Rhinolophus ferrumequinum: one gene and its partner. The protein of the gene in region 2 purifies or fractionates together with the protein of the main gene of each other region. This does not show direct contact. Links are inferred from orthologs where the notes say so. Each region holds a gene or a part of one and is shown on either strand. Other genes may lie near its edges. The genes, in order: KATNIP and MAK.

Evidence for each region.
Region 1: the proteins of MAK (region 2) and KATNIP purify together in Homo sapiens (affinity purification with mass spectrometry; 3 studies listed by BioGRID and IntAct, with this or other methods). This does not show direct contact. The link is inferred for Rhinolophus ferrumequinum from reciprocal best matches to the Homo sapiens genes MAK and KATNIP.

The regions. Positions count from the first base shown.
Region 1 is NW_022680357.1:1,864,441-1,880,363, forward strand, and holds the start of KATNIP (katanin-interacting protein), read right to left. Parts: upstream 6,762-15,923; coding exon 6,639-6,761; intron 5,137-6,638; coding exon 5,060-5,136; intron 1-5,059. UniProt on the Homo sapiens protein: May influence the stability of microtubules (MT), possibly through interaction with the MT-severing katanin complex.
Region 2 is NC_046292.1:83,290,506-83,306,625, reverse strand, and holds the start of MAK (serine/threonine-protein kinase MAK), read right to left. Parts: upstream 6,547-16,120; 5' UTR 6,491-6,546; exon of another isoform or gene 6,333-6,490; intron 4,535-6,332; exon of another isoform or gene 3,792-4,534; intron 2,948-3,791; exon of another isoform or gene 2,907-2,947; intron 274-2,906; 5' UTR 56-273; coding exon 1-55. UniProt on the Homo sapiens protein: Essential for the regulation of ciliary length and required for the long-term survival of photoreceptors. Phosphorylates FZR1 in a cell cycle-dependent manner. Plays a role in the transcriptional coactivation of AR.

The DNA of each region.
Region 1 (15,923 bases), on a different chromosome or scaffold from region 2:
GATGCTACCTTACCAACTGTGGTGGTCTCCTGGTCCCCAGGACCCGGGGCTGGCCCTCCACGTGGGCCTCTCCTTCAGCAGGATGATTTATGACAGTGTGGATTTATGAAGCTGATAAATGAGGAGATAATTATTCAAACTGTGAAAGGACCCACTAAAGGAACGCCTCTGCGGCAGCCGAGCTCATCAGTCAGGATCGTGTGGCGTCAAAAGAAAAGTGGGGTTTGTGTAACTGATGGCCTGCTTTGCATAAAAAGCTGCCCCGGTGAAGGGGATTCAGAGGAGTCAGATTCGGTCCCTGCCCCATCAAAGAAGGAAGCCCCGCCCCTGACGCCTGGGCTCTCTATTCTCTCACGGGTTGTGCTTGTTTCCTACCACGTCTCACACGGCAGCCTACAGGTCAGCGTCTGTGTCTGTTCAGTCTCCTTCCCACCCAGCAGAATCCGAGCCCTGGGCCCGGGGACCGTGCTGAGTGCCAGGAACGGGGAGCAATGCACTCAGAACCTAGTTCTGGAACAAGTGGCCCCGAGGAACTCCAGGTCCAGTGGGGAGAGGAGACATGGCCGTGCATCCGAATACAGCCTCCGTGGGCTGAACGCACAGCGCAGCCATCGTGTCCGCTTTATCCGTGCTGACCTTTGCATCCCTTGTACGGAGAGCTCTTTGGTGGAAGTGGAAGCACCAGGAGGGAGAGCACAGGTCATCACGAGGGAGTGACGGGGACAGGACATGCCTGACAGGTGGGTGGTCAGGGCACAAGCAGGGTCCCAGGTGGCGAGAGGATTCAGCCCAGCTCAGCGGGCAGGCAACGTGCTGCTCGTGGACCTAGTGGCAGTGGGTTCTGGGCGGAACTGTCTGGGTCTCTGAGCGCGGAAGTTGCTATGTGACCGGGGTCCAGCCACGTGGCTCCCCCGGACCTCAGTTACTCAAAGGCTCAACTGAGGGGTTCTCTAAGGGCCAGGCATTCGAGGAGGATCCGGCTGGCAGCTCAGAGAGAAGGCGTTTCACATTGAAATGACAACGGTGATGAGGAAGCCCCCGCACCGGGGTGGTGGCCTCACGAAGGCCCTGCAGGTGCCTTGTCAGGCTGAGTCCTTCCCGGCCCTGGGATTGAGATGAACTTGACCAAGGCTGGCCCAGGAAGCAGCCAGATTTAAAGTCAGGTCCACAAGGCCCTGCAGCCTGTCTCCCAGCCACCGGCTCCGCTGTTTCTGTTTCCTCATCAGGAGTCTCGCCACAGGGGCTCTGAGCAGCGAGGGCGCCCAGGCAGAGCGGTGGCTCCAAGCTGGGGGCGTCTGGGAGGTGGTGGCATTTGAGTCCAGCCTCAAAGTGTGGAGGAACCCAGAGCAGTGGTGCAAAAAGCCTGCTGCTCCTCCCGGAACCTGGGTGGCCCGCAGGCTCTGGTATTTGTCCTCTAGGATGTCACCACCCAAGGCCTTGCCATATCCCCCTCCGTGTGACCTGGGGCACGTCCCTAGGTTTCCTCTTCTTCACACTGAGACCGCAAACACCTCCACGTGTCTGAACTGCTACGGGGATGGAAACAGGGGACCAGGCTGAAACCCCACCTCATGGATCCGCCCCGTGCAGGATCGCCCGTGCATGCTGGTTCCCCTTTTCCTTCTTTCTGCCTCAATCTCCTCTTGAGGCAGTGGGTTTGCCTGTCAGGTGGGCATGTTTTCCTGTAAGTTTCCCTCAAGTGACCTTTTCCAAAACACAAAAACACCACTGGATCTGGCCTCGCAGCCGCCATCGAGAGTCTGTACAGCCCCCCTGGGCCGTTAGCTCCTCACCTCCCAGCCCGCTGGTCACACTGCTTGCTCTTCCCTGAGTTCTGCTGGGCGTGGTTCCGTCTTTCAGGAAGTTGAGTGACCAGAATCACTCAGCGTCCTCGGGGAGGGTCTGTGCGCGGTGAGCTGGGCACCACCTCTTCGACCCTCCCCTGGGCCTTTCCTGGAGCCCGTGATCCCTTTCTGCTTCTTCCGGCTCCATTACAGGTGGCCTGGTGCTCAGCTGGGAGGGAAGGGCGGTTCCTCCAGGCAAGGGGTGTGCGGCGGACACCTGTTCTTTCTGCCCACCCGGCACCCCTCCCCCCACCTCCCAAACGCAGCCCTGCCTGTGGATCCCCTTTGGGTGCTGCTCCACTCCTTCCTTCTCATTCCCCGTGGTTTAGGTGAGGCTCACTCCACCCCCAGCTTAACTGGGCAGCCAAGGAGAGGCCAGTGAGACCTGCCACCTCACCGACACGGGGAGACGGGCTTAGGGGTGAGATTGGGGCCCCAGTCAGGTCCATGGGCGTCCTTCTCAGCACTCCTGCTGGAACCCTGAGGGCAGAAGTGCTCTCCTCCCCTCGAGGTGGGACGTAGGTGTGGGGGTGGCCAGTGGCCGCTTTGGCCTCCGAGAGGGAAATGCCCTACGATGACTCCAACACGGGGAAACAGAGCTGAGAGACGGAGAACAATTGATTCTGCGGACGTAACTTGAGAGCCTGGATCCAGCTATGCCTGAAGCCAGACTGTCATCCTGGATTTCTCAATTTCGTGAGCCAGTAAGTTTCCTTGTTGCCTAAGGACCATTGACCATGGGTTTCCATCCCTCCCAGCATAGGAGCAGAAAGTAAGATAGTCTGCGTTCCCCCATCACAGTGTTCTCCCCACACTGGTGGGAATCTGGGCTCTGAGCAAGTACTCAGTGAACTCCTCCTGGATGAATCCAAGAGCAGTGTCACTCAGCCTCTTGGGGCCGCTGTATTGTGGACTGACTCCCCTGAGAACGCGCCCAGTGACTGCACCGCCCTTCTTTTTTTGTGTGTGTGGTTTTTTTTTTTTTCTGGTTTTTTTTTTATTTTATTTTTTTCTTTTCTTTCTTCTTGCACAGCCCTTCTGAGGTCACCAGGCACCCCCGGGGAGCAGCCGGGTTTTCATCGCCCTCTCGGCCCAGTGGGAAGCTCAGCGGCTGGTGTTCCATTGGGTCCTATAACTGGATTTCCAAGCAAACCGCAGTTGATTCCCACAAAGCCCCTCCGCAGTGAACTTGGAGCCACTGGCGACCCTGGCAGGTTTCTCTCCTCTTGATTATTTATGACCATGTCGAGCAAAGTCTACATGAGAAAGTAGACTTTCTTGACCTTGGGCACACAGCTCTCTCTCTGGGTCTCCACGTCCTTGTACGTAAAACAGGGCAGCCACTGTGTCTGCCTCGTCGGGTCGTGTGCAGATAAAACGAGATGACAGGACGAGGTGCCTGGCGCGTGGCTGGCCCTCCAGAAAAGGTGCCTTGGAACCAACAGCCGACGATAGCTCAGCGGCACCCTCTCTGCATGTGTCTCCATTTGGAGCTGTTTCTTTCCAGCTCTACCTTCTAATTTCCTGTCGTCCAGCCAGCTCCCTCTCGGTGACAACACATCCCCCATATTTTATGGCAGCTCAGTTTTGATACATTTTTTTAGCTGCCTTTGTGCTGCCACCTCGTCGCCGTATATTCTCCTCCGCGCTGTCGGCTGGTGCCTCTTTGATTGCACACTTATTGATCCCCGATTAATGAGAAGCCATTTGCTCATCTGACACTCTCCTCCCAGACACGTCACGTGGATTTGATGAGACGATCACACAGGGGTTCGGGGACCCCCGTCCAGCTTGCCAGGAACTGAGTAAAAACAGCCTGCTCTGTGGCATCCACGACGATTAAAAAGCCACGTTTGAGTTAACTGGCCTTCAGCTAGTGTAGTTGCCGCTCGCCCCTGGGTCGGAAGGAGTTGGGCACAGACGGAGTGCCTGGCATTTCTGGCTGGTGCTGGAGAGATTTCTGTTCAGATGTCCCCACTGCGAGAGGTACGGCCTCACCAGGGGCACCTGGAAATGCGGCGAGGGTGTTGTCATGGAGACTGGGGGGCATAACGGAATTAGTAAAGTGGCCGGTGGGTGGGAACACTAATCCTACAACACAGGGGACTATCTTGCACCTAAAAACTTGTCCCATGCCACAGGCCGCGGGAGCCCCAAGTGACAGGTCCTGGTTGTCAGAGAAGGGCAGAGTCCATATTCAGGATGATGACCCCAGACTCTGTCACCTGCAAGACCCCAAGCTAATTCCCTAACACAAAGGCCCAAATTAGCACGCCATCCTTCCGCCTCCTGCAGGTCTGTCTGAGAGGCCTACGGCGTTCGTCCGTTTGTTTCGCACTTTCATTTGCATTCATTACCAACATTTTATTAAAGCACAGGCGGTTGTCACGACTCAAACCCACAAACCCAGATCTCCAGCTTGTCTCCTAGTCTTGGGAGGATATGGACCCCTGGGCCTGTGTTCCCACCAACAAGTGGCCTGAGCCCCAGCAGCTTGGAAGCGAGAATTCCAGGCCCCCAACTGTCCTCACCCACTGAGTGGGCTTCACTCACTGCCCGGCCCCTCCTAGCATCCGACTTTGCAGACCGGGCTTACTGCAAGGTGCCAGGCCTGCAAATAAGCCACAGCAAACCGGAAATGAACTTGGACAGCCCTCCAGACTTCTTTCAAACCAGACCGCACTGCTTTGACCTTATTCACTAACCACTGCCATCTACCGCAGGCTTTTTCAAGAACCGGCACTCCCGAGTCAAAATCCGCACTAACATCACCTTAGATGATGACGTAGGGACCAACTTCAAACACAAATGGACAATGGCACCACCTTTCCATAACAAGGCGTGATTACAGGCTCTGATTTCAAAGGACGGGAGCAGCCTGGAAGATCACAGCACGGGCTCTTCAGGCGGCCAATGCACAGGCCCTGCCAAGGTCTGGCTTTTCGGGACAAACCTACCTTCTCCCAGAACGGAAGCAGGGAGGCAAGAGGCGGCACTTACACGTCGAATAGTTTGCTACAGCTCCATCAAAAGATGCCGTGACATGAGTGAATGGGGAAATAAGAGCCGGCATTGCAGAGAATACGCCGAGCCTGTGTGTGGAGGTAACGGCATCCCTTCGCTACGTGAACAGAGTCTGCGTGCTGCTAATACATCCACACAGGGTTTTTACTTGGCTAACAGGAGGGGCTGCCGGCAAGCGGCTTCGTCCTTACCGGTTCCTCTGCTGAAGCAATATTAAATACTCATCATGTTTCTCATCAAAGTCTGGCACATGTCCTTTAGTGAGACCCTGAAATGAAGAAACAGAGCGGTGTGATATCAGAAAGCAGGAAAGCACGTCCTGAGGCCGGGGGGGCAGTACACACTCTCTGCACAGGTGGCCGCGAGGCGGGGCGGACCTTGACGCAAGCCGGCTCCCTGGACGCGTCCCTCTGGCGACCCAGAGCCCCAGAGGCTGGCTGCCTGATGGCCCAATGGGGCGCCTCACCACAACTAACGACGTACGAAAATCGAGATCATTTCTCCTGTTTGTTTCTCCCAGGCCCCATAAAATCAAGGGCTCGGCCAGGATTTGGGCTTTCTCTTTTCTCCAGGCTCCTGATTGACTTATCTCAATTGTCCTAACCGAAGGCGTCCCAAATCAGTTGTTTTAGGAGGGGATCACGTTTTTCTCTTGCCAACACACGAGAAAAATGTATGCTTGCTATCAACAACTCCGTCATTACACAAATACATGACTCAGAGAATGAAGGTCCCTCCAGAGCAGACATTTGGGGTTTTGGCCCCAGACTGGGTTTGCTCTGAGCAACCGCTCGGCCCCTTCTTTCAGTGAACTGGCTTCCTGAGATGCCCTTGAAGGTTCCTTCGTTATCCTCTTGGGTCACAGGACTTTGGCCTTGGCCTTGCCAACCAACACAGCGCTGCACTGCTTCCCTGGTCTGGGTTGAGCCCTAGAAAGTCAGCCCTGGGCTAGGCTGACACTCCCGGGAAAAAGCTGCTCTCTTTCCACCGCGGTGCTGAGCTGATGAGACGCAAGCCTGGAACCGCGTGAGAATGAAGTTGATGAGAAGACAGGGGATCCGAGAGAGGGAGAGAGATTCTACGGACGTGAGCTTGAGCCCCTACACCTACCCACGCCTGAAGAAGTTTCTGGACCACTTCGTGACTGCTTTACAAGTTTCAGCTGAGTGTCTCTTCATTTTCAGTCCAAAGAATTACGTCATCTACCACAATCTGACAATATGTTTTTTTACAGCTTTATGGAGGGAAAATTAATGAAGCTACACATATTGAAAGTGACATATGTATATACAGTAACCCCCCATTATAATTTGATATATAGTCCTCCAGATGGTTTTCTTTATTTTATACGTAAAATACACACAAACACACATTCTTTTAAACAAAGTAGAATCCCACAGAAACACTGCTTCACAATTTTCTATGCTCCTTATTTATTTATTATTTTGCCAAGGAATAGACTAAAGAGACCATGTCAGCTTGGTTCTAGTCACAAGTTACAGGGATTAAGTTTTAAAGGGCAAGTGAGACATTTGTGACAGAAATGCAGTTTGGATGAATTATCCTGGGGAGAAGAAGAAACAAAAATCTCCATCGCTCTCTTCTTGTCAAAATCCGGCTTCAACCCCACTATTCCCTCCAGAACCCTATCCAAGGGTGACCCAAACCCCCTTAACCAAATAGGATAGCTCTTCCCTTCTTCCTCCTGTTCCTTTGCTCTGGGCTCTGGGCAACTGCTGACCGGCCGGCCGACCACCCATCGCTGCCCACACTCCCGTCCTCCAGCTTCTGCAGCCCTGGACCAGCTTCCCTTCCCTCGCAGCTTTCTGCCTGGGCCTCTCGGGCTACCCTTCCTCCCTCGGCCTCGGAGGTGGGTGGTAATTGCTTGTCCATCTCAACCTGTCCGGGTCCCTCTCCTTCTGCCGTCACTTCTCTTTCTGATTACAAGGAAAGGGGCCCCTGGCTGGGGAACCCACCGAGTTACTCCTCGTCCAGGGCTGCGGAGAGCTGGTTGCAGGACACTGGGTGAGGGGAAGAGTCTCAGTTCCTTCTAGAATAACAGCACATGTATGAGGACAATTTAAGCATGCCCCTCCACATACGTGATTCTCCTTCGATCTTCCCCGCCGTCCTTGAAGTGATCATTACCCACCCCACCCCCCACTTAAGACACAAGCACAGCCATCCCATGCATATTCCACGAACGGGATCCTATTCCAAGGCAATTCACGTAACCATTTGAAACATGCAAATGACCACTGATATATGTTACAGTACAGAACGACACATTCGATGGACATTTTTTGATGAGAACTAGGAGAACGTCAAAGAGCTCAGCCGTGGTGGGCTGCCCTGGGCTTTCACCCCAACCCTTCCAGAACATTCATTCGCCCTTGCCAGGACGAAGAGGTCATCAGAAAGACGTGAAGAGCACAGGCCTACCTCCAGCCCAAGTCTTCAGCAGCCTGTGCTTCTCAACGCTAAGCGTGCACACAAATCACCTGGAGGTGGTGCTGAAAGGCAGGCCCTGATGCAGCAGGGCTTGCAGACGGAGCGTTCCAGCAAGCTCCCAGACGGGGCTGGTGGGACACGAGTTGAGTAGCCGGGCCTCTCCTCACTCCCCACCATTCACCACGCACCCACCTCTGACGGGACGTCACTGAGCCTGAGCGGGGAGGACACGCACTAGCTCCAATGCAAGTCCTAGCACTGCCATCAGTTTCCTCAACTGTGACACAGAGGTCATGACGGCACCGTCCGGGAGGATTTTCCTTTCTCTCATAGGAGGCAGTGACGGTGGAAAGGGATTAGCACAGTTACCTGGCACCGAGGAAAGCTTGCAATGAACGGTACACGTACGTCACAGACTTGCGTCATTTTAAATCGCACCATCTCCCAGGCTCCCCCCGGCACATGCCTTCCTCGTGGTATTCCCTTTTCCACAATTCATTCCGTCTCCCCCGCAGCCTCCAACCCAATCCTCCCCAAGGCCCGTTCAGTTCCCAAAGTCTCTCTCCCCGTGACAGTCTCACCCGCATTCACTTTTCAGCTCATTTTGAAACCCTGAAATTAGTATTAAATTAACATACAATACAGTGTGGCAGAGTGTATGATTAAGTGATAAATTGTTAGCATTTAACTATGTATATTGCTCACTAACTACCTGGGGATTTGGAGACTTGAGGGGGTGAGCCTTGAGCTTTGTTTCCTACCTTCTCTGAGCCTCAGTTTCCTCATCTGTAAAAAGGGGACATTAGTAAGGTCTGCCTCACAGGGCTGCTCTAAGGAGTAATTAGGAGAAAAGCGGAAGTCATTTAGGGTCCTTTCTTTCTTGTTCTCCTTTATAATCCTAGCCGGATCATAAATTCCTAGGGGGGCAGACCATGGGAAGCCGGGGGGAATACGGAAGGGGGAGGCCTGGTCCTGGGCTCATCTTAGCTTTACCACATCCAGCTGTGACGACAGCTGCTACAGCTGCCTAAGCACCAGCTCAGCCCACGCTCACCCCAGCCTGGTCAGACACCAGACACTGCTCCTCCCAGCACAGCACACTTCCCTTCACTGAGGCTTTATTTGTCAGGCTGTGAAATGGGCACATTAACCATAAAGCACCCCACAAGGGTGTGAGAACCTTGTCAAGTGCCAAGTTTATCATCACTGTTTTTCAGCAAACATTATCAAGTGCTTACTGGGTTGGCTGTTACATGTGCAATGATGGTCTAACAAGCTCGGCCCCCGTATATATTCAGATATCAACTTGCCTAGAGGCCGAACTGGACCACCAGTGAGGGGCAGCTGTGCAGGACTCGGCCCCTTTCATGTTGCGTGTGGTGTGAATGACACCCCGTGCCGCTGTGCAAACCAGTCAAGCAAACACACACTGGCCGGGGTCCGCAAGGTCGGGGTGGCTTGCTGGGAGCTCTGGGAACACTCATCTGTCCATAACTTTCGTCAAGTCACCAAAAGCATCCAAGACAACAAACAGGAGACAAATGACCATCAAAAATATATAAACTATGAAGCGACGGATCCGAATGAGGAAACTCGAAGCCTTGCTCACTCCCCCCTCCACATCCATCCAACCCATCAGCTCCAGGTGGAAACTACCAGACCCCCCGGCCTCGGACCACTTCTCCCCCACCTGCCCCCACCCCCTGGCTCAGGCCCCCTCGCTGGCCTCCTGCTTTTGCCCTCACCCTGCCGTGTGCTGTCCCTGCTATAGCCAGGGGGTCCAGATAAAAGGCAGGTGCATCATGTCTTCTGCACAGGTCTCTGTGGCCACCAGGCCTTGCACACAGACCCCAAGCCCGTCTCCGAGCCGCTCCCACCACCCACTGCGGCCCCGTCGACACCCAGCAGGCTCCCCGCTCAGGGGCCTGACTTTTCATTGCTTCTGCCTGGAACGCTCGGCCCCCAGGTCAGTACCCAGATTCCTCGTCTCCTCCGAGGCTTGCCTCAGAACTGACCTCAGGGAGGCCCTCCCCGGCTGCCCCATGTAAAACTGCAAGCTGTGCACACACACACACCAATCCCTCACTAATATAATACCTACTTTATCTTATTTATGATGCCTCTTATTTATGGCGCTGTCCCCTGCACTAGAATGGAAATTCCATGCAGGCAGGACTGTATCCGTTTTGATCACTTGTGTTTTCCCAGACCCTAAGACAGTACATGCACACAGTGGATATATTACCCGATATTGACGGAGTAAAATACACAGAGAGATAGACAGAGAGAGAGAGGGGTAGACAGACAGGCATTTGAGCTGAGATTTTCAAGTTGGAACATATTCTGGGGCAACAAGAAAAGGGACAAGCATTTCAAGCAGAAAGCAGCAGCATGGGCAAAGGTGTGGGGTTTTGACTAGGGCGACAGGTGCTGAGGAGGGCGAGTTAAGTTGGCAAAGGGCCTAAGGAGGGTGGACGTGACACAGAAGCAGAGCCTCAGCGCCACTTTTCATTGCTGTAGTTCTTGTCATCTTACCCCTAACGCTGGCCCAGAGACGGTGTAAATTTTATCACTGAGCACATCATTAATGGTCTCTGGGGGAAGAAAATGGCATTGGAAAGACACGCCAAGAGTCACTTGTGTTTCAAAGGCACGCGGCCCAGGCCGTATTCCAGGGATTCCGCTTTCCCGAGGCCAGAATCCTGGGAGTCTCCTAAACCGGGCTGAGTGAGGGCGCGCCGGAGCCCAGGCCGCGTCCGCGCCGCTCAGAGGGCCCTGTCGGTTTCCAGGGCCTGCGATGAATGTCCAATGGCAGCTGTCAGGCCCCCGCAGAGAAGCCCAATAACTTCGAATGGTTTCCTAACGGGGCTGGGAACCACAGTGGGTCTGGGAGCAGCGCAGAGTGCACAGAGCACGTCCACACACCTGAGTTACTCCCCGGCCCCCGAGGGTCACATTTTAACCGAGGGACGGTGTATGAGCTCTGAGCAGGCGCTCCAGGTCCCTGGGCCCGCTCTTCCGGCCGCCTTAGCTGCCATTTATCATGCTTTCTGTGGCTGCCTATTGTGGGATCAAAATAATGCTAAGCTCTGGGGTCAGTAGCCCCATTTTAAAGAGGTGGAAACAGGCTTTGAAAGCTGAAGCAAATTGCCAGCAGGCCGCAATTTTTCTTGGGGCAACCCCTCTCCTCCACGCTCCATCTGTGTGGTGGGGGTGGACATAATACTGCCAGCGCCACCAGAGAGGGCATGTGGACCTCGGCCTGGCCAATCAGGGCATTGCGTCTCCTGGACATGCAACTGGTTCAGGGCTATGCGTGGCCCCAGAGGAAGGCCAGCAGACTCAGCTCAGGGATTGGCTGAACCTGCGGGAAAAGTCCCGACCTCGCTTCCCCTGGAATGATTAGCTGACCTGCGCCGAGAGCTACAAAGGTGACCACAGCGGAAGTCATTTCTATCAAGGGATGATTGACATCCGTCTATGTCCCATGGAGACGTGTGTCCAAGGAGCAACACCAACACAGAGGCAGGCAGCAGAACCGAGGACAGAGAGAGAGAGAGCAGACAGAAAGCAGACCCTCTTAAATTAACCGTGTTTAACCCCTGCATCCAGCCATGCTTGAAGCCAGTGCCATCTTGGGCTCTTAAGTCACAAGAGCTAATACATTTGTTTCTTTACTCAAGCCGGTTTGAAGTGTGTGTGTGTGTGTGTGTGTGTGAGAGAGAGAGAGAGACACACAGCTGAGGGAGTTCTCGGTGGTACACTCGTAGAACTACTACTCAGGGGTGTCGGACTGCAAAGTCTGTGCCATATCCTAGGGCTCAGGGCAGTGTTTAGTAGACGACTAAGATGATACCTAATGAACATTCTCAGTGAGGGCCCTACACCCACAGTGACAGACGTTCCAAACGGATCTTACAGTATAAAACTCCTACTCACCCTTCAAAACCTGCCCCCAAATGCCAAAGCTCCCGTTGTACTCAGAGATTCTGTTCTTCGTGTCTCAGTGCTGTGTTCTAAGTCTTTAATGTATATTAGCTGAATGAAAAAGTATAATTCTGAGCTTACTTTTCACTGCTTTTGCTGACGTACCAGATGTACTCCCATCCTCAGGACACAAACCACAAACACTCTACAGCCAGTACGCCTGCACTGCAAACAGAAGCCAAGCAATGAAGACCTAAAGCAATGGCTGACACCACCCCTTAGAGGTAGAATGAAACAACACAGAACACTGCAGCAGAGATTTCAGTTTCTCAGGCCCTGGGTAGACGTGGTAACCAAGCCGCATACTAGGCACATAGCAGATGGGTAAGCCAAGGACACACCTTACACTTATGTTTATTACTATGCCTCCCTGCTATGGACCAAGACACACCCTGAGACGTTATATTTTGTTTCAGGATTTGTAGGATATCGATACAGATCCAAAATCTAGGATTTCCTCCTGGACTCCAGGATTCCATATGCTGCATCTTTATGAAAAAGTTTTTCTTACATAGTGTCATGCAGGGACTCTGGTCCTGCTCCCCACATAAGAAGACAGAATACGGTGAGGCCAAAAAGGAACACCCACGGAGCCACAGATAGGGGAGTCATACCGCTATCGTCTCGCTGGCGGCCGGGTTGGAGACACAGGAAGCAGGAGCTGCAATCTGCCATCCGATTCTCTGCCAACCAACCAACCAACCCAGCCACGGCAGTTATATCGGTGGCTAATGGCTAACCGGTTACAGCTGATGGCCAACTAGTCACAGCTGACGACCCTCTACTACCCGAGCCAGCACCTTTCCACGTGAGGCCGAGAGCCTGGAAACTACATTCTGGGACTCGGACCCCACACATAGCTATCTAAGAAATCACTTTCCATACATAGGTGTCTACTAGAAAATAAGTAACATGTCTTTTGATTCTCAGAAAAGTTTCCTCGTAAGGTTGCAGTGTGTGTGATAAGCCAACGTGTAGGCTGGCAAATACAGACGTTCTCTTTTAAAATCTTAAACGAGTTGACTTGAAGAAGGAAAATTGTACATTCATGCCATAGATAGAAAAGCATTCTCACGTGCCATCAATAGAAGGCAGACACAAACACGGAACTAGCCCGTGTTTTACACGCCACCCACAGGCCCGTGGAAGTGTGCAACCACACAGGAGGAAACTCGGGGCTGGAAGTTCCACGTCCACCACAGCCCTGCCAGGTGGGTGACACTGCCCTCATTTTACAAATTCATCCATTTGCTCTATTTATTGAGCACCTTCTGGAGACAGAGGGAGGGCATCGAGTCTGCTAGCAGGGAGCTCACGTGCTAGTGGGAGGAGGGAGACACGTGATGAAACGAATAAGTAAATCTGTGGTATGTCAGATAGTGCTAAGTGCTGCGGAGACGAAAAGAGGGAGCAGCGAGAGAGGGAGGGAAAGAGGGGGTGCTGTCCTAGCCGGGGGGTCCGAGACGGCCAGAAGGCGGAGCCTGAAGGACCAGAAGGCGGAGCCTGGAGGACCAGAAGGCGGAGCCTGAAGGACCAGAAGGCGGAGCCTGGAGGACCAGAAGGCGGAGCCTGAAGGACCAGAAGGAGGAGCCTGGAGGACCAGAAGGCGGAGCCTGAAGGAAGGGAAGGAAAAGAACCCTGTAGGAATCTGGGCAGGAACCAGTGAAAGGCCATGTGGTGGGAGCACTCCGCATATGTGAGGCACAGCGCGGGGACCAGTGTGGCTGCAGGGGGTGGCGGGCGGGGAGGAATGGGCTGGGACTCGGGCAGAGGCCACGGTGAGGACTCTGTACTTTACTGAGGCCACGGGAAGCTGCTGGAGGCTTCTGAGCGGACACGTCCACCGAGGCTTTCCGTGGGTGGAGATGGGCTGGGGCTGCTCCCACTGCCTCCTCCCGGAGGGGACGCGGCCCTGGAAGCCCGGCTGCAGCATAAACAGCTTCTGACGATTCAGGACGCCCGCTCTCCACTCCCAGGCTGGTGCCAACCTGCCTTAGCGCAGCTGTTACCTGCCGGAGGCTCCCGACCCTGCAGGACCGCCGCTGGGCCTGACGGGAGGAGAGAGGCAGCTCAGGTGGGATTTTCCCTCCTCCACACCTGACTTGCATGGGAGAGCCTTTCCTTGGAAGGGAATGAACCTGCCACAGAGAGCATCTTTCACGAGGTCCATCCCGTCACCACCGCCCAGCCAGCCGGGGCTGCCTGAATGGACGGGTCCCTCTCCCCCCAGGAGCTGCCCCGCAGCCCCGGGTAGGAGGTGGTAGCACAGAGGGGCCCCTTGCTATTTATTCAACAAACATGTCTCGAGCTCCCCCTGAGGTTGGGTGCTGCTCTAAGGGGCGCAGACAGGTGATGCAGTCTGGCCCCACCATCCTCCCTGACCTCACTCCCACACACACCCCCAAACCCCTTGGCCCAATGGCTTCTGGCTGCTTCTCGGAGAAGCTCAGCCCCTTCCTCTCAGACCAGGGCCCCCTTGTTGTTTCCCCAGGCCTAGAAAGTTCCTTTGTTGGGCACCTGTGGTCCTTCCTGGGGCCTCTTCTGACGACCCAGGCCGCCTGCCTCCTCGAGGAGCCAGCACGTCTCACTCTGTGAAAGTCTGTCCATTTGTTTGTGGGTCCCCCCAAGGTACCAGACCCATATGGCGCAGGGCAGGTGCCGAATCTCACTGCGGTGTCTCCTAGCCCCAGGCCAGTGCTTGGTCCACACAAGGAACTTACAAAGTACTTGTGCAAAGGAAGGAATGAGGAGGAAGAGAAGGAAAAGAAGGCAGGAAGACAACATCCCTGTTCTCAAGGAATTTCGCGAGGCGGCCAGGGAAAGACGACTGTTCCAGTGCCATGGGGGAGGTGTCAGCTGGAGGACGCACCTGTGCCAGGGCGCGGTGGGTACAGGGCACGGGGGCCTGGCGTTACTCGGGGGCTGCAGGCTCTACAGAGGAAAGGACACGGCGCTGAGCTGTAAAGGAGCTCACTAGGTGGACAGGGGAAGGTGGAGGGGGGCGGGGAGGGCAGAGGATGGGGAATGGTCCAAGCCCACTGGCTGATCCCAGGGGACATGTCACCGGAGGGACCTGGCTTCTGAAATTCCAGGCCTGCTTTAAGCCCAATGAGGGGCAAAGCCTGTTTGTGCCCACGACAGGTGCCCAGTGGCGCGAACACCCTAGGCAGGAAGTGAAACCTCCCGTTCAAATCCAGGGCAGTGCAGTGGGGTTCAGGCTGTGTTGTCTCACACACTACAGTCCAGGGTCGCCGTAGGAATCCCACAGATCCAGCAATAGAAAGAAGACAGTTCACCGTAGTTCCCTCTCACCCCTTCCCCGACTGTGTGGGACCAAGACCCTTTCTTTCCTCTCTCACTCTTTCCCCTCTCTCTCCGTCCTTCCCTTCCTACTTTCTTTCAGGTTCACGGGGAGTGACTGCTAACAGGTACAGGGTGTCTACCTGGGGTGACATCAATGTTTTGACATTAGATAGTAGTGATGGTTGCACAGCACTGTGAATATACTAAACACCACTGCACTGTATGCTTTAAAATGGTGAATTGTGTGTTATATAAATCAGATCTCAATAAGAAATGCAAAACAAAAAAATGGGGCTGATGATTAACACAACACCTTAGAAATACAAAATGCTTAGGCTCCTGCCTGGCGTATAACACGTGCTCAGTTCACACTAGCAACGGAGATGACGCTGATTAGAAATACTCAGAAGTTTCTGATGAGGATGGAACAAAATCTGAACTCATAGTGACCCAGGACCCAGCTCCCCGAGCGAACCCTGAGGCACGTTGTGCTGCAAAGTTAACACCCACCCGAAAGCCATGCAAAGAAAAGATGACATAACTTTTTAAGGATGCAGCTTTCCCTTCCCACGTAGGATGAGGAAGGAGCTGAGCTGACCTGGTTCGGGGGAGAGCAGCTGGGTGTAGGAGAGGGGCTGCTGTCACACACTCAGGACACGTGCCGGGCTGGTGACAATCACAACCCCTGAACGCATCACGGCAGATGGCAGGCGAAGAATGCTATCGGGACGAGGGCGGAATAAAGGAGAATTCATCTGCACTCATATAAACTGCGTTTTTATAATATCTCGCTCGACCGGTGTGTTGTCAAAAGGTGGTGACTTCAGGCTGGTGACGAGGTTTGAGGAATAGAAACCAGGTGACAGGACAGAAGCCAGATGTGCAGGCTGCAGGAGGGACAGCATTTCGTTTGTGCTGCTAGATTTGTCAGGAGGTAAGGAAGGGGTGGGGAGGGTCTCTTGCAGCCCCTACCGTAGCCTGTGTTCTCTCCGAATACGGCTTCTTCAGAGCAGAACAGCAGCCCACAAATTCCATGGTCTCCTGGCCTCCTGCTTGCTCCTTCCAACCCACAGCCCGTCCCTGGGCTTTGCTCTGACATAGATCTCCGTGGTTTCCCTCATCAAAAACCCGCAACAGCTGGCAAGGAAGCCACTTTGGGAAGCAACGCGGCAGTGTCCGCTAAAACATGACAAGGCAAAACCCTGCGTAGCTTCAATCCCCGCCGAGCCAGCTGTTCCACTCCTTGGAATCTACTGAAAAGACCCACACGGGTACCCGAGGAGGAATGTACAAAACGCTGATGCCCTCCAGCCA
Region 2 (16,120 bases):
GCACACTGCCATAGGTGCCATCCCCCAGTTGTCTCATGGTTGTGTACCGGTTCATCTTGGAAAGATGACGCCGCAGAAGTTGCTGATTGCAATGGCTTCTTTGTTGAATATAAACGTCAATGCTTCTTTTTTCAAAGTTTGTTTTTGCCCTTAGACTGTTGTTGCTACACTGGTGATAGATTTGTCATCATTTCACATAGGCTCTTCCCCAAGAATCTGAAGGTTCATGAGCTACAGCGGCAAGGAAACAGTGCTTCCATTCTTATGAACACCCTATAAAAAATAAGAATAAAGGGAATTTTCATTAAAGAATCTCTACAAAAAATTTTACCGCTAACTTACTACACAGGGAAAAGCTTTAAGTAACATAAATACCAATGTGTTAAACATCTGTCAGTAAATCATTTGTGCTGTGTGGAATGCAGTTCACATATAACCAACTGACAATACTCATTTGGTGAATGCTTCGTTTACATGGTACTGTACCATTTATCCCATGAATATTCAATAAATGTTGGCTTAATGATTTGTACGATTCCTTTTTATTTACTATAATCTATATTATTCCAGACCAGACCAAATCATACAATTATACTCAGTATATCCATTTTCTGAAGCACTTTCTGCATCAGATTTTATTTGGCCCACAATCCCTTATGTGAAATTTGTGGGCCAGATGTGTTTGGAATCCAGGAATTTTCATTTTTGAGGAAAGTAGTATAGAACACATACCTTATGTTATGTAATACTTTGCATTAGCCTTTTAATGTACCACAGAAACATGTATGAAAAATATACTAAGTAAAATAAATAAAGACTATAAATGGCCTCACATTATTCGGGTCATGTTTTGTTGCAAAACATGACAAAGATTTGCACAAATTTATTTTTAAAATTTCATCTTTCAGTGCTTTGTGGATTTTAAAACTACAGATAAGGGATTATGGATCTGTATATATTTGAAGGGCACAGGTTTCAATAGGTTCTGATTATATTACCACAACTAAAGAAAAACAAAGCACTAGTCTTAGTGCCTACCTCATTACAACAATATTTAAGTTTCCTCCCATTGTTCTTAGTTCCACATTTCAAGGAATTATTTCTCAGTTCATACCTATTTATCATTCTTAATTTGCTTTTAAGAATCTCCATCATTTTGTTATAAGGTTTTATGTTTAGTTGCAGATGGTAATAAAATGTTTGGCATCATTAAAATACTTTGTTTTAAAATGCCTTTTATACTTTGGTACTTCATTCACAGATCATTTTCCTTTTACTGTATACCACTGCTTCATTTCCACAAAATATTTCCACAAAATAAAATAAAATCATAGAAACTGCTTTTCTATTTTATGCATAAATTTAGGACCTACAAGGATGTGATGTAGTTGTCAAAATATCTAAGACTTCTAAAAACAGGCTTTCTGGAGAAAGAATAAACAAGTGTAGAGAACTACAGTAAAACTATGTTGTTTCCTATACATGGAATGTATTTGTCCACAGGAGACTTTGGAAGAACCCAGTGGGGCTTTACAATAACAGAGAGTGTGTATTATAATAATTTATCATTTATTTTACTTCATACAGAAAATAACCCCTTCAAAAGCACATGTGAAATAACGTAGGCTATGCTAACTCTGGCCAAGATCTTGAAAGAGATCACGATAGTAGATTCCAGTGCTAAGCAGGGATTCATTCATTTCTTTCAGCTTAAGTCTGAGCAAATGGTCTTATCAAATGCCAACAAATGGTTCATCCTTTGCCTAAAAATGCATTCTTTTTTGCAAGTGGTCTTTACATTATACATAGACACAGATTTTAAATATGAAGGTATTAATATAGAGAAAGGCAACATCCCTCTGCAGAGCTCCTGACCAAAACACGTATTTGCTTTTCTTAATTTTTCTTTTATTTGTATAAGGAAATATAATTTTGAAAGATCTTTTGGGTTGTTTTATACTATGTGCTATGCCTGGGCTGAAATGTATTATGGGCTGAAATATATTATGTATTTCTTCTGATCACTTAGAATTTGATTAAAGCAGTATTTTGCAATTCAATATCAACATGTTAAACTGCTTGACATTCTTTTCTACCTACCTTATTTAAGGTGACATACACCTATCTCTTTTAAGGAAATGGTGCTCTCTATAGGTTTATTGCATAAGTAACAATATAGAGAATATATTTGTCCAAAAGCTATGATGTTCATTATTCCAGTAAAATTATAAAATAAAAACACAGAAGGATTAAATGACCTATTTATGATCATTCAGAGAATCAAAGATGGAGTCCATTAACCAGGAGCTGTGTTGTTGTTTTGTGTTTTTTTTTTAGTGTGGTCCTTAACTTCTACAGAACCCATTATTGGCTTTTACAATCATTAATGGAACTGATTGTAAGGAACCACCTCTCTTTGCTCCAAAACCATGTAGAATCTATCACACAACAATTGCTGCCTGCCCCTCCCCCCTCCCTCCCCCGCACCCCCCCTCCCCCCCATCTTCCTAGCCCAACTCCCAACCCTAAAACACCAAGATGCTACTGACTAACTGGAAAGTGCAAATGGTGCTTACTACCTAACAAAACCCTAGGGCTACATCTAGCTTATCCTATACCTGAAGGACACTGTAGAAACAATAGGCCCAAAACAGTGAAGGGAAAGAAAGTCTGAGTAAGGGAGAAGGGAGTCCGAGCTCCCATCATGAAAATTATTTTTTTAACCTCACCCAGGAAATTAATAGAGAAATTTAATGGGATAATAGCACCGTCTCTCCTTTGCAAATTTTTTGCATATTCAACAATTATTTTCAAGTTAACACATAACTGAGGACAAGCATTAAGGGTCTGAGAGGTAGAAAGTAATATAGGCAATTCTGGAAAAGAACACATTGCTTGAGAAGGGAATGAAAGATGGAGGTGCCCAGGTGGGAACAGAAGTCCAGAGGTAAGAGGGTGCCAGAAAGAGTAGTCAAAACTGTACCTTGCAGTGACTTAACCTGCAAAAGTGGAATCCATTGTCTCTTTCTCTTCCACTATTAAGACCACCAACCACCACCGTCACCAGTACGACTAGCACAACAATTATTCAGTCATTGATGACTTTCTGCGTTTGGCATGGAAGCCCAACCAGGTTTAGATCAGCTATTGGAAACTTTATTCCAAGCCAAACCAACCAACCGTCAAATATACACTGAACACAAAGGTATTTTAAAGTGAGGATGGCTATACCGTATGCTGTACTTATATTCAGAGAAGAATAAACAAGGGACGTGGTCATTTCCCAACTTCTCTCATTTGGGAGGTGGTCGTGAAGATTAAGGACATGGCATAGATTTAAAAAAGGCAGATTTGTGGCTCTGAGAGAATCTGTCCAGTTTAAATCCTACCTGACCTTTAGGTAAAACAAATTGATATACTATGCTCCCAAATAACTTTAGAAAGACCTCTTTTGAATCATATTAATTACAAATTAAATAGCTCTCCAGGGTGAGAAACAAGCCATTTTCACTGTCCCCTCATCCCTCTGAAAATACAAGGACAATGGCCTAATGTAAAGAGGCATAGATACACAGGTAAAGGTTTTTTAAAAAATCATATTCCTATGTACCCACTGACGGATAGCACATAAACACCTATTTTTTTTTTTTTATCAGTATAACATAGCAAGGTCCTAAACTGATTACTAGTCAAAAAAGCAGCACATGTAACTTAAGAAACAGAGTGCAGGTCTGTGGGGAGCGGCGGACGTGGATCTCTGTTCCACAGGATGGGGTTTATTAAAGTTAAAGAATAAAACCCAACTTCAAGAGATAACAAGTGAATTTTAGAAGACGGCAAAAGGGTAAAACTGATTACTATGGCCGGAAACGCTTGGTAATCCAGGATAAAAATAAGTACAACACACCCAAATATAGGATGATAGTTCATATAACCAACAGAGATATCATTTGTCTAACTGCTTATGCCTATATAAAAGGAGATATGATAGTTTGTGCAGCGTATGCCCATGAACTCCCAAAGTATTGCGTGAAGGGTGGCCTGACAAATTATGCTGCAGCATATTGTACTGGCCTGCTGCTGGCCTGCAGGCTTCTCAATAGCTTTGGCGTGAACAAGATCTATGAAGGTCAAGTGGAGGTGACTGGAGATGAATACAATGTGGAAAGCATTGATGGTCAACCTGGTGCCTTCACCTGCTATTTGGATGCAAGGCTTGCCAGAACTACTACTGGAAATAGAGTTTGGGAGTCCTGAAGGGAGCTGCAGACGCGTTATCTAATGGAAGAAGATGAAGATGCTTACAAGAAACAATTCTCTCAATACATAAAGAACAACGTAACTCCAGGCATGGAGGAGATGTATAAGAAAGCTCATGCTGCTAGATGAGAGAATCCAGTCTATGAGAAGAAGCCTAAGAAAGAAGTTAAAAAGAAGAGGTGAAACCGGCCCAAAATGTCTCTTGCCCAAAAGAAAGATCGGGTAGAGCAGAAGAAGGCAAAAGCTTCCTTAGAGCTCAGGAACAGGCTGCTAAGTTAATAAACAAACAATAATTTTCCATGAAGATTTTTCATATTAAGAGAAAAATAAACTTATTAAGCAGCTAAAAAAAAGAAAAGAAAAAAAGAAACATACACTGCCTATGGGTCCCCAGTTCACACACAATAATATTTCTCTACAAGTTACATATTCTTCTCTGTTGACCTATAGAAAGCTAATTCTGCAAAATTTGCAAGCATTAACAAGATTTCTTATGTACATGAATATATATATATATATATATATATATATATATATATATATATATATAGCAAGGCAACACACAAGTACATGTTATAGAACTGTGATCCTCAATTAATTTAACAGAACTTGGAATTTTCCACAATCAAGCTACAATGTTTACTTACTTTCCTATGTGTTAAACAAACCTTATATTCTGATTTAAAGAAAAAGACATGTATTTAGAGGCTTAGTATAGACCTACATTAAATAAATACCCATATAATTTCTCTCCCATTCTAGTTTTCTTACTTTTATCTAAGAGTACAATTGCTGCTTATCTAAGTGCACAATTATTGTAAACTTGAGCTTTATTCTCAACAGTTTCTGCCAGTTAAGAAGGGATTTAGATAGGAGTAAAGAAGATTAACATAGAGGTCAAAGGGAGGGTGAAACTTGTGTCTGCCAATCACTGAACAGATGCCATTTGGATGCCTTCAACTTGCTTTGTAGAACCTACTGTAATCACTCCTAGGCTCGCATTAACGTTTAAGAAAAACGTAATGTCTTAAGAATCACTTAATTGTTTAAAAAGCAAAACAGGAAAAAGATGTCAAACTAACCAAGTCATATGTTTACAGAAATTAAAAGGGGAGCTTTTACAATGGGAAAACAAAGATTCTGTATTAAAATATAAAAGCATTAGTGCTTTGTGGTAATATTCACAAATCATTTTAAAACTAAACAAAAAGAAAAAAAAGAAAAAAAGAAAGAAAAAAACGTATCCCAACGAAGAGATAAAACATCCTTGCCAAGAGCACCCTCGCGTGGGTAGCAAGTGGCCGCCTTCAGAGGAGTATCTCCCGTCCCCATCACTCAGCGGTCACTGGAGGATGGGAAAGATAAAGGCCAAAAGGCTGAAAAGTAACTTTTGCCTCCACCACTATATTGACCCAATGTGTTGTTTTTCTGATTAAAATAAGTCCAATAACTGCTCCATGAGAATTCCGTTATCACTAGAACAAATATCTGCTGATTTAAAAAGATTATCGAAACACAAATACATAAATCTTTCCTTTTAGAATTGAGATTACAAACCACTAAAAATCAGTTTTATTGGTTTACTTTCCCACCCGTCTTATTTGCAGTAAAGAAACAGTTTTCGTTACACGGACGCTCTGATCCTTTTTCTGCAAACCGGAGCCCTTAAAAGACTCCTAAAAAGACTTCTGTCTTTTTTATTTTATAGAACTTCTGAACTCAATTCGCTCTCTTTCCGAGACCCGACCACGCCCCTCACTCCTAAAAGTAGTTTCCCCTTAAGCAGTAGAGGGAGCGGAGGAGGTGTGCGTGTGTGTGTGTGTGTGTGTGTGTGTGTGTGTGTGTGTGGCGAGGGGGCGGGGGAACCCTAGGGAAGAGGTTCGGGGCAGGGTACCTCAGATTGACAGATGTCCCGTCGTCATCCCCCACCCGGGACCGACCCCCGCCGTCTAGGAGCGCAGGTAAAGTGGTAGAGGGGGCCTTAGACAGAATCCACTGCAGCAGCCGCAGGCCGACCCCTCCCGCCCGCTCCGCCTCTCAAGGGATCTCCTCCCTCCCGTCCCTTCCCCTACCAGTGTCTATGCCCCTTCTCCGCAGAGGTTGGCCCTGGTAGGACAGAGCGCCGCGGGGACATGCCCGGCCAGCGTCACAGGACAAGCTCGGGCTGGATGGACAGAGGATGGCAGCCCCGCAGCCGGCTCGGGATTACCGGCCCCAGCCAGCCGCTTACCTCGTTCGCTCCCTTGTGAAGCTCTGGCGTCTTGTGTGTTTCATCTCCTAGGAAACGGCAGGGGTACGCCAGCTCTGGCGCGGCTCGACGCTTACACCCGGCCCATAGGGGGCGTGGTCGAGCAGGACTAGCCTCGCCCCATCCTGCATGCCCCGCCTTCTTAGGGCGGGGTTTCCGGGAATACCTGGGCATCTATTGAGACCTTTCAGATTTCTGCCGTTTAGATATGGGGTTTAGGAGATTCCTTTTCAGTTCTTTATAGAAAGTTGGTTGGTTTGCCCTTTATTTTTCTTGGTTTTGCTCTGATTCATTCTACAAAGTTTGATTCACTAAATCTGGTTCCCAGACTCGGGAAGGGAAACAGAAAGGCATAGGTTTGCCTTATATTTGTATTTGTTTATGCAAATACCGCCTGGAGAAAAACTGCTCTTGTATTACAATTCCTTACATTGGTTAATTCCTCGGGTATGTGTTATCTCCTAGGCCAAATTTCTAAGTTCATTTTCATTTATTCATTCAGAGCACCTACTCTGCACCATTCACAGTTTTAGATTGTAGTAATTACAAGATAAATGAATGAATGTTTGAATAAATGAGTAAATAGTAGCTAGCCTAGAGTTGTGAGAGTTGGGTACACTTGTGTTACTGCAAAAAAAAAGTTCAGATTGACGAGTGTAAAGAGTTTCTAATATATGAGGCAGTGATGTATCCATTTAGTAATTATCTGTTAGGTGTCAGGCTCTGGGCTTGGCACTGAGGTTAATGCCAAGGTAGCTAGACAGACATTCTCATGGCCCTCTTACAGTTTAAAGTGAAATAGGCAGGCAAAATAAAAAGCATAGGTTAGATCATGGAGGTCTTATATGCACTGTTATGAAACCTAAACCATATGATGCAGTGATAGGGGAACACTGAAAAATTTTCCACAGAGGAGTGACATGTTCACATTTGCATTTTAGAAAGATCACAAGAGCAGCAGGGGGTAGGTGGATTTGAGCCATGAGTATGGAGACAAGAGAAAGAAACAGAGACTATTGTAATTTATCAGGAAGAAATGATGACAATCCAACTATATCAGTGATGATGGAAATAAGACAGAAAGGGACAGATTTCAAGGAATATTTGTAGTTAAATTTCATAGGACCATATGGCTTAGATGAGTGGTAGATAGTGGTATCCACAAATAAGTTGGAAAATATTGGAAGAGGAGCAGATTTGAGGAGAGAGGGTGGGGGAGATTATAGGACCAGTTTTGAAAATTTTGAGTTTGAGGAAAATCCAAATGGAGGTCACAAGAAGACAATTTGAAATGTAGATTTGTAACTTTGGGTTATGTCAGAGCTGGAAATACAGAAATATCGGAATACTGTGAATGAAGTCGTTGGTGTAGACAAGATAAACTAAGAAGAACAGAGGCCTGAGATTCTGGAAAACTCCGTCTTCTAAAGAGTGGGGAGAGAAAAATGGAGGTGATGGAGAAAAAAAACTAACCAAGAGAATTCAGAGAACCAGTAGGAGATCTCAAAATAGTATTTCAGACTGAGAAAAGGTAGGTTAAAAAAGACAAACCCAAGAAACAAGGAGGAAGACAAAAAGAGGACAGCATGACTGACTAGATCCTCTGAAGAACGCTTCTGCTTGGAAACAACTAGATCATGTGTAAAGCATACTTTTTATTGCACTGTTGAAATAGGAAGAATGGAAAATCTCCAAGCATTCCCATACATTGTACTCGAGTAGGAGAGGAAACAAATGGGAAAGGCAAAGCTGGGCCAAAGGCAAATCCTGCTTGAGCACAACAAGAAGACTAGCCCTGGACCAGTGGCAATGGGACTAAGCTGACCAGAGACTAGAAAATTAATCAGGGAACTTGGGAAAGGGCCAAAGTGGTACCAGGCCAGTAGAACCATCTGAGTCCCAGAAGAAACAGACACAGATCATCTCCGGAGAAGCATCCTCAATTTAGGACTACAGATTTTTTCATAAAATGTGAGCTCATGACCACATGACAAATGAACCCTTTCAAGTGAGAATTAGCAGAAAAAGCAACAACACATTCAGACTTTTGAGAATTTCAGAAATTGGAAATATTAACTTGAATATAAAATAAGTATGTATGAAAAACATACAAAAAAGCATACAGAATCACACAAATGAACCAATGTTGACCAAGAATATTAGAAAATAATTAAAAAACTGCTAAAATGAATATAATAATTCTTAACATGTTTTTTAAAAGAATGAGTTAAATCACATATTAGAACCAAAGAAAAAATTAGGAGATTGGCACAAAATCTGCAGAAATCACCCAGAACATAGTATAAACAGACAAGAAGATAGAAAATATTAATGAGAGATTAAGAGGTTTGATAGAAGAAGAAGTCTAATATATATCGAAATAGAGTCTAAGAAGTAGAGAATAGAGAGATTAGAGGACAGCCAAGTTTTGCAAAATTGTGGCTGAGTGTTTTCTGCAACTAACTGAAGACATGACTCCACAGATAAAGGAAGTACAAAGAATGCCAAGCCGGGCAAGTAAAAAGATGTTCACATCTAGACACAGATAGTAAAACTGCAGAATGCCAAAGACAAAGCAAATTTAAAAGCAGCTAGGGAGAAAAGAGCGATGACCTGTAAAGGAAGAGCAATTAGACTGACAGTGAAATTCTTAATAGTAAAACTGGAAGCCAGGAGACGAAATGAAAATTTCCCCTCAAGTGCCAATGAAAATAATGAAACCTTTTCCTCAAAGTACTGCCAAGAAATAACTGTCAAACCAGAATTGTACCTGAGAAAGCGATGTTTCAAGAACAAGGGCAAACAGAGACAATTTCAGATTAAAAAAACAAAACCAAGATATTTTACAACCAACAGACCTACTCTAAAGGAACTTTCAAAGACTGGACTTTAGAAAGAAGGAATGTAATCCCAGGAGGAAGGTCTGAGGTGCCAAAAAATAAGGTGAGTGTGTATAAATGCATATATGTATAAATGCATAAATATTCTCGGTGCAAAATAGCAATAGTCTAATTTGTGGCGTTAAAAGTATGAACCAAAATATTGAGAGGACATTAGCACACAAGTTGAAGGGTTAATCAGAATGAAAGAATTATAAGATTCTTGTAGTGTTCAGTGACCTGTTAAGATAGAAATTTTAGCCTTTGTTCACTTTCAGCATATACTTACGGCAGTCAAGTGGATCCTGTTAAAACACAAGACAGATTTTGTCATTTTGTTTAAAACCCTGGAATAGGCTTCCTTCTCCTTCCCAAGGTCTTTACCATCAACTACAAGCCTCTGAAGATCATCTGGCCACCTTTTATCTATGTGATCTCATCCCTGCTAGTCTCCTTTAGTTGCTCTGCTGCAGCCTTTTCACTGTTGCTTGAAATGCTCCTGTTTCTGGCTTTCCTTCTACTTGGAATTTTCATCCCCCAGATATCTGCATGGCTCAGTCCCTCACTCCTTTTTGGTTTTTATTGAAAAAATTGCTTTTTCAGTGAAGCCTTCTCTGGCTACCCTAACTACCCCACTGCTAGCACTTCATGCACATCCCAATGCTTTATGTTTTTCTTTTTAGCACTTATCACAATTTGACATCTCATATATTTTACCAGTATGTGTTGTTTATTTTCTGCGTCCCCCACTGGAACGGAAGGTCCCTGAAGATGGGGATTTATGTGTTTGGTCACCAACGTATCTGTCCCTTAAACAGTACCTGGCACATACCAGGAGCTCAATAAATATAGGAGTGTTTGGAGAAGGGCAAGTGGGAAGTTAGGAGACTAGTTAGGAGATGTTTGCAGTTTCGGGGTTAAGATATGATGGTGGAATGGAGACATGTGACAGCAGTGGAGCTAGACTGAAGCGTTGCAGTGTCCAGTCACAAATGAATTGATTCAGTTGATTGATTGAAACCTTAGAAAACTTGGAAATGTAAGTCTTTGATGGAAACTCCTATGACAGAATTCACTACCTCTTCTAATCTCAACTTGGGATGGTTCTGATGGTTTAAATTGCCCTTTTATTGAATGGGAACAGGTTACTTTGCAGTTCTTGGCAGTTCTCTACATTTTACTCTGTATGATCTGCAGGACCTCTTGTTTTTGCTCATCTAGCATTTACTACTCCCTTTCTGGTATTACCTCAATTTTCCTTTGGTGAGACACCCCTGACCCATTTGTCTTTGGGGTGTCCACGTGAGCCACTCAGAGTCTCGGTGGTGAGCTTCCAGAGGTGGGCACATGCTTCCGAGATACTGGGAAAAAGATGCTCCCTTTCTGTTAGGGAAACTTAAGAAAATGACAGTCCAGAGCAACTGGGCTCCATCTTTGCTGCATATCTTTGCTGAGAATGAACACAGAAGGATGCAGGGCTGAGAGGAAATGAGATCATTTCTAGATGACAGCATTTGAGCACCTGCATTGAGCCATGCCTGAATGTATTATTGATCTTTTCAATTGGAAGAGCTGGAAAAATCCTCTTTTTGCTTTGTCATTTGATTTTCCTTTCCACTTAAATCGAAAGTGTCCCTGATTTATACAGGACCATTAAGAAGACATACTTTTTCTCTCACATGTTACCTCTTCCAGTATTTGAAGTTAGCTGTCCTGTATCTCCATGCCTTCTCCTGGCAACTGAGAATGGCAAGGTGAAGGGTCATCCAGTCAGCCCAGCCCTGCATTAACTTCCTACCTCAGTCTCAATGCCAAATGTGGGAACCTGACGTTCAGTGAGTGACTAAGGAATCAGAACATTCCTGGTTCAATACATTCTTCTAACTATGCCATTCTCTTTTACTTTTTCCTCAATTCCCAACTCTGATCCAGCTAGCCTCAAATGATGTTTTGGTGGGTTATCCCTTGACCTTAGGATTTAAATTAAACTATTTTCTAAAGAAGTGTATCAACTATATAAGATCATGATCAAATTTTAACTCTAAACAAATTCTACATGGTCATAATTTTAAGAATGACCCACCTTGTTTTATTTTTCTTCATGACACTTACCACCTTTTAATATACTATACAGTTAATTATTTGTTTTGTGTATTATTTGTTTTCCTCTCCATCCCTGCTAGATTATAATTTTCACATGACAGGCATTTCATGTGATTTGTTCATTGTTGTTTCTATAACATGTAGAAGAGTGCTTGGCACATAGTAGGTGCTCAGTAAACATTTGTTGAATGAATGATACAGACTCTGCCCTCTAGCAACTCATGTTTTAGAACAGGAATTTGCATTTTGCTAGAGGAATGTATAGTCTGGTAGGGCCTATGTCTTCGAGGTTTGATTCACTTTCATTTTCATAGAGATATTCTCATCAAATTGTTTCCTGGATTTCTTTTATCTGAGCAACTGCTTTGCATTAGAAGCATTTAAAATTTTATTTTAAAAAATAGAACGTTTATTTTGACTTTTTCAAATATAAATTAATTGGAAAAAATCAGAAAACACAGGCAAGTTTAAAAGGAGAAAATAAATATTATCTTCCTTTGTTTACTGTTTAATATTTTGCTGTATTTTGTCTCACTTTATTTTTAAACCAAAAGCTTTATTATAAAAATGAAAGCTGGAATCACTGATGAAGCCAGTGTCCTACACAAATAAACAAACAATTTCCTCTCTAAATGAAAAAAACCACTTCATATCATCATGCAAATAGATTTTCCACTAAAACGAGCATATGTGTGCACGTGTTGGGTTTTTACCAGTGTTCACAGCTTGTAGCTTTTTACCAGAGCAAGGATATTGGTGCCATTCAACGATACACAACAGCATCGTAGCTAAATGCCATTCCAATGCTGGAAGCCTCTACGCGTACCTGAGAGAGGTCCGAAGCTACAGGCAGAAGCCAGGGAGGGCCCCTATCTAGGAGATCAAAAGGCACCTGATTGGAACTTCAGGCACAAAACATCCCAATGGACGACCGTGACCATCTTGAAAGGACACGGTTGGGAACCTGAGATCTGGCTTATCTGTCAAGAAGCAGCTACTTCACTGCATTATGTTTAAACAGACTATTCAGTTCACTTCATTCCTGTCACAAATAAGTCTAGAGCCTGTCCTGCTTAGGAGGAAGTAATAAATTATATCACCTCAGGTATGTTTGTTTCTGTCAAATGAATTTGTGGAACTGATCTTTATCAATATGTTTCTAGGTCCAGCAACTTTGTTTATATATTTTATTCACTGACTTAGAAGGTTTTACTGTAATATTATATATCATCAAGTTCCTGTCCAAAAGAAGCTCAAAAGCTCTGAGGTGAAAATTTAAAAACACTAGAAAGACATCACAAAGACAAGTAACTATTGAAATTACAATTTTCATTCCCATCTTTTTTGATTTCTTAAAATGCATACTTCTTGAGTGGGGTCACAACGGAACACTTGGAAGAGGTTATGTTACAAAAACTCAGGATATCAGTGTAGCTTCTTTAAGCACAGCAGGTATGTGTAAGCTTCACATTTTTAAAACACCACGCAAGCTTTTGTAAGTGTGGTTTGAAATCGGCTTCATATGGAGATTTTAGAGATATTTATTTAGATGTGATTTTATTTAAATGTCAAGGTTTATGGTTTTTGCATAGCAAAGAGTTTGTTGTGTTAAGTTTGTTCAGTTATAAATTAATAATTAGACTTCACCCAGTCCACTAGATATTATAACAACACTCACGCTCATTTTTGCTTTACTCATGAATAGTCTCACAAAGCCTAAATTTTGGGTGCATTAGGAAAAGTGAAGTATTTTTTCCTGAGGATAAATGATCATCCTTTCAAAATAAAAATGTAACTGCAAAGACTAAATGGCAAAGGAGAAGGAAGCTGATTCATACTGCCAAGTTCAGATGGAGTTGCACTATTGGATGTTTCAAGGGACCTCAGAAAGTGGCTGGGCCAACGAAAAGAGGATTGGCTGAAAGTCTGTAAAAGGAGCAGTTAGACCCCCAGATCTTATCCTCTAGCCCACCCTACCAGGGGCCACTGCCCCTACCTGGGATAGCAAAGTCTGAATAAGGCACCAGCTAAAAATAGGAAGATAAGTGAGCTACTGCATTTTGGATGGTGAGCCCGTAGGCTACTTTCTCTGCTTCCAGAAAGATGGCAACTGGCTTATGCCACAGGTGATAGATTAGAACATCACCCTCTGGGAAAGTGGATTAGAACAAAAAACTCTGTGGATACTGATGGTTGAGTTCCCCAGTTGCTAAGCCCCAAACAAATAAGGAATCTGATACACAGGAGGAAACTCTGTGACTCAGAGGGAACAAAAGCAATGCAGGGAATATTAAAAAAAAAAAAAAAAGCAAAACAAACAAAAAATATAATTAATATTCTTCAAGACATAAAGAGAAAATATTTGTATCAATGAAACAGGAAGATGATTCTATAAAAGGAAGTAATATTCAAGAGGTAATAAATAATTCTTAGGAAATAAAACTAGGATGGCAGAAATCTAAAATAAATTAATAGAATAGTTTAAGGTAAACTGGAAATTTGAACAATACAATATATAGTTTTAAAAAACAAACAGAAGAGAAAAGATTAGGAAATAAAAGAATCAAGTCTAAGTAATGAATGTCAGAAGAAAAAAAAAGAAACAGGATCAAAAATCAAAGAAATAATGCAAGGATAATACAGAATTGAAGGATATTTGTTTTCAGATTGAAAGAGCCCACTAAATGACCAGTAAAAAAATAGGGAAGGAAAAAAAAACCACGAAGACACATCACAGTGAAATTTTAGAAAACTAGTGATAAATAGAAGATTCTATGAAAAAAAACAGGTCACACACATATGATTAGGAATCACCATGGAAGCTGATGCTGAAAACCAGGAAAATATCCAAACAAGCAAAATACAGAGCAATGCCTTCAAAATCTGAGGAAAAATCATTTCCACCTTGAATTTGACACTCAAGCTATCCCTCAAGTTTGAGATGTGTATTCTTCTTCTATGAACTCTCCCATGCATCCTTTCTCAGGATGTTTCTGGAAAATGTTATCCACCAAAAGGAGAGATAAATCAAGAATGAAGACACAGGATCCTGGATAAAGAGGATCTAACACAAGAAAGAGACAAAAAAGAAAAGGAAAAAAAGAAATCCCAGGATAAGGGTAGAAAGAAGAAATAGCAGTCTAAACTTGTGGTTTAGAAATATGGAGGTAAATATTGGAAGAAATGTTCAAAGGATTTGAAAGTGGTTGCCTCAGGCTAGTGAGAATCAGATTAGGAAACAGTAGCCCATTATTATACTGTGTGTGTGTGTGCGTGTGTGTGTATGCGTGTATGCAGACAAAATAAAAGGCAATTTTAGAAAAAAGATTAGCATGTAATGGCTCCCTGGTCGTATGTATTGCCTACTGTAATGAAGATTCTGTTATGTCGAAATACTGATTCTAAGGAATTCTTTATGTTGTCTGGCTTTTTAGTGAATCATTTTAGAGTCAATGGAAATATGCTTAGAATTTGAATATGGTAAATATTCGCAGCTAACTCAAGCCTAAACTGCTTCTGCTGGCTAAAGATGATCATACAATAAAGCAAAAATGGCCCATAAACAATTACTTCTGAAAAATGACAGTTCTGGAAATTTGTTGCTGTTGTTTTTATTAGAAATTAAGAGACTACAAAATTCAACTGCTCCCCATTTCCTCACCTCAACAAACACAGTTCCAGATTTTTAACTTTGGAGCAACTGAATTATCAGAGGTCTGACAATTAAGTTTGCAAACTTGCCACTGTGCACCTACACTGGCAGCACTGTACAAACAGCTTGGTAAGGTTTCATAACCTTGGTATATCAATGTCTCACAGCTGTTTTTGTGTTGATGTGTGGTAGTGTCTTGCTGAGTGGTGTTCATTATTGTTGTTGCGTGTTTTTGTGTGCCATACAAGAATGCCTGAGCTTGAATTAGAGCAATGAACAAACAATAAATTTCTTGTTAAACTTGGCAAGAGTAGAAGTGAAATAAGGGACACGCCAATCCAAGTTTATGGGGATAACGCCAAGAAGAAAACGGCAGTGTACAAATGGATTAAACATTTTTCTGAGGGGAGAAAACGTGTCACTGATGAAGAAAGGTCAGGGTGGCCAGTAACTGATGAAAACATTGCAAAAATTCATTGAATTGTGCGTCAAAATCATTGGATGACTGTGAGAAGCATAGCAGACCAAGTAAACATTAATAGAGAAACAGTTAGGAAAATCTTAGCTGAAAATCTTGGCATGAGAAAGGTGTGTGCAAAAATGGTCCCAAAGGAGCTCTTGCGTCATGGCAATGCACCAGCTCACAGGGCACTGCCTGTGAGGGAGTTTTTAGCCAGTAAATAAATAACTGTATTGGAACACCCTCCCTACTCACCTGCTCTGGCCCTCAGTGCCTTCTTTATTTACCCTAGAACAAAGGAAATATTGAAAGGAAGACATTTTGATGACATTAAGGACATCAAGGGTAATATGATGACAGCTCTGATGGCCATTCTAGAAAGAGAGTTCCACAATTGTTTTGAAGGGTGGATTAGGCACTGGCATCAGTGCATAGCTTCCCAAGGGGAGTACTTCGAAGGTGACTGTAGTGATATTCAGCAATGAGGTATGTAGCACTTTTTCTAGGAAGAGTTCGCG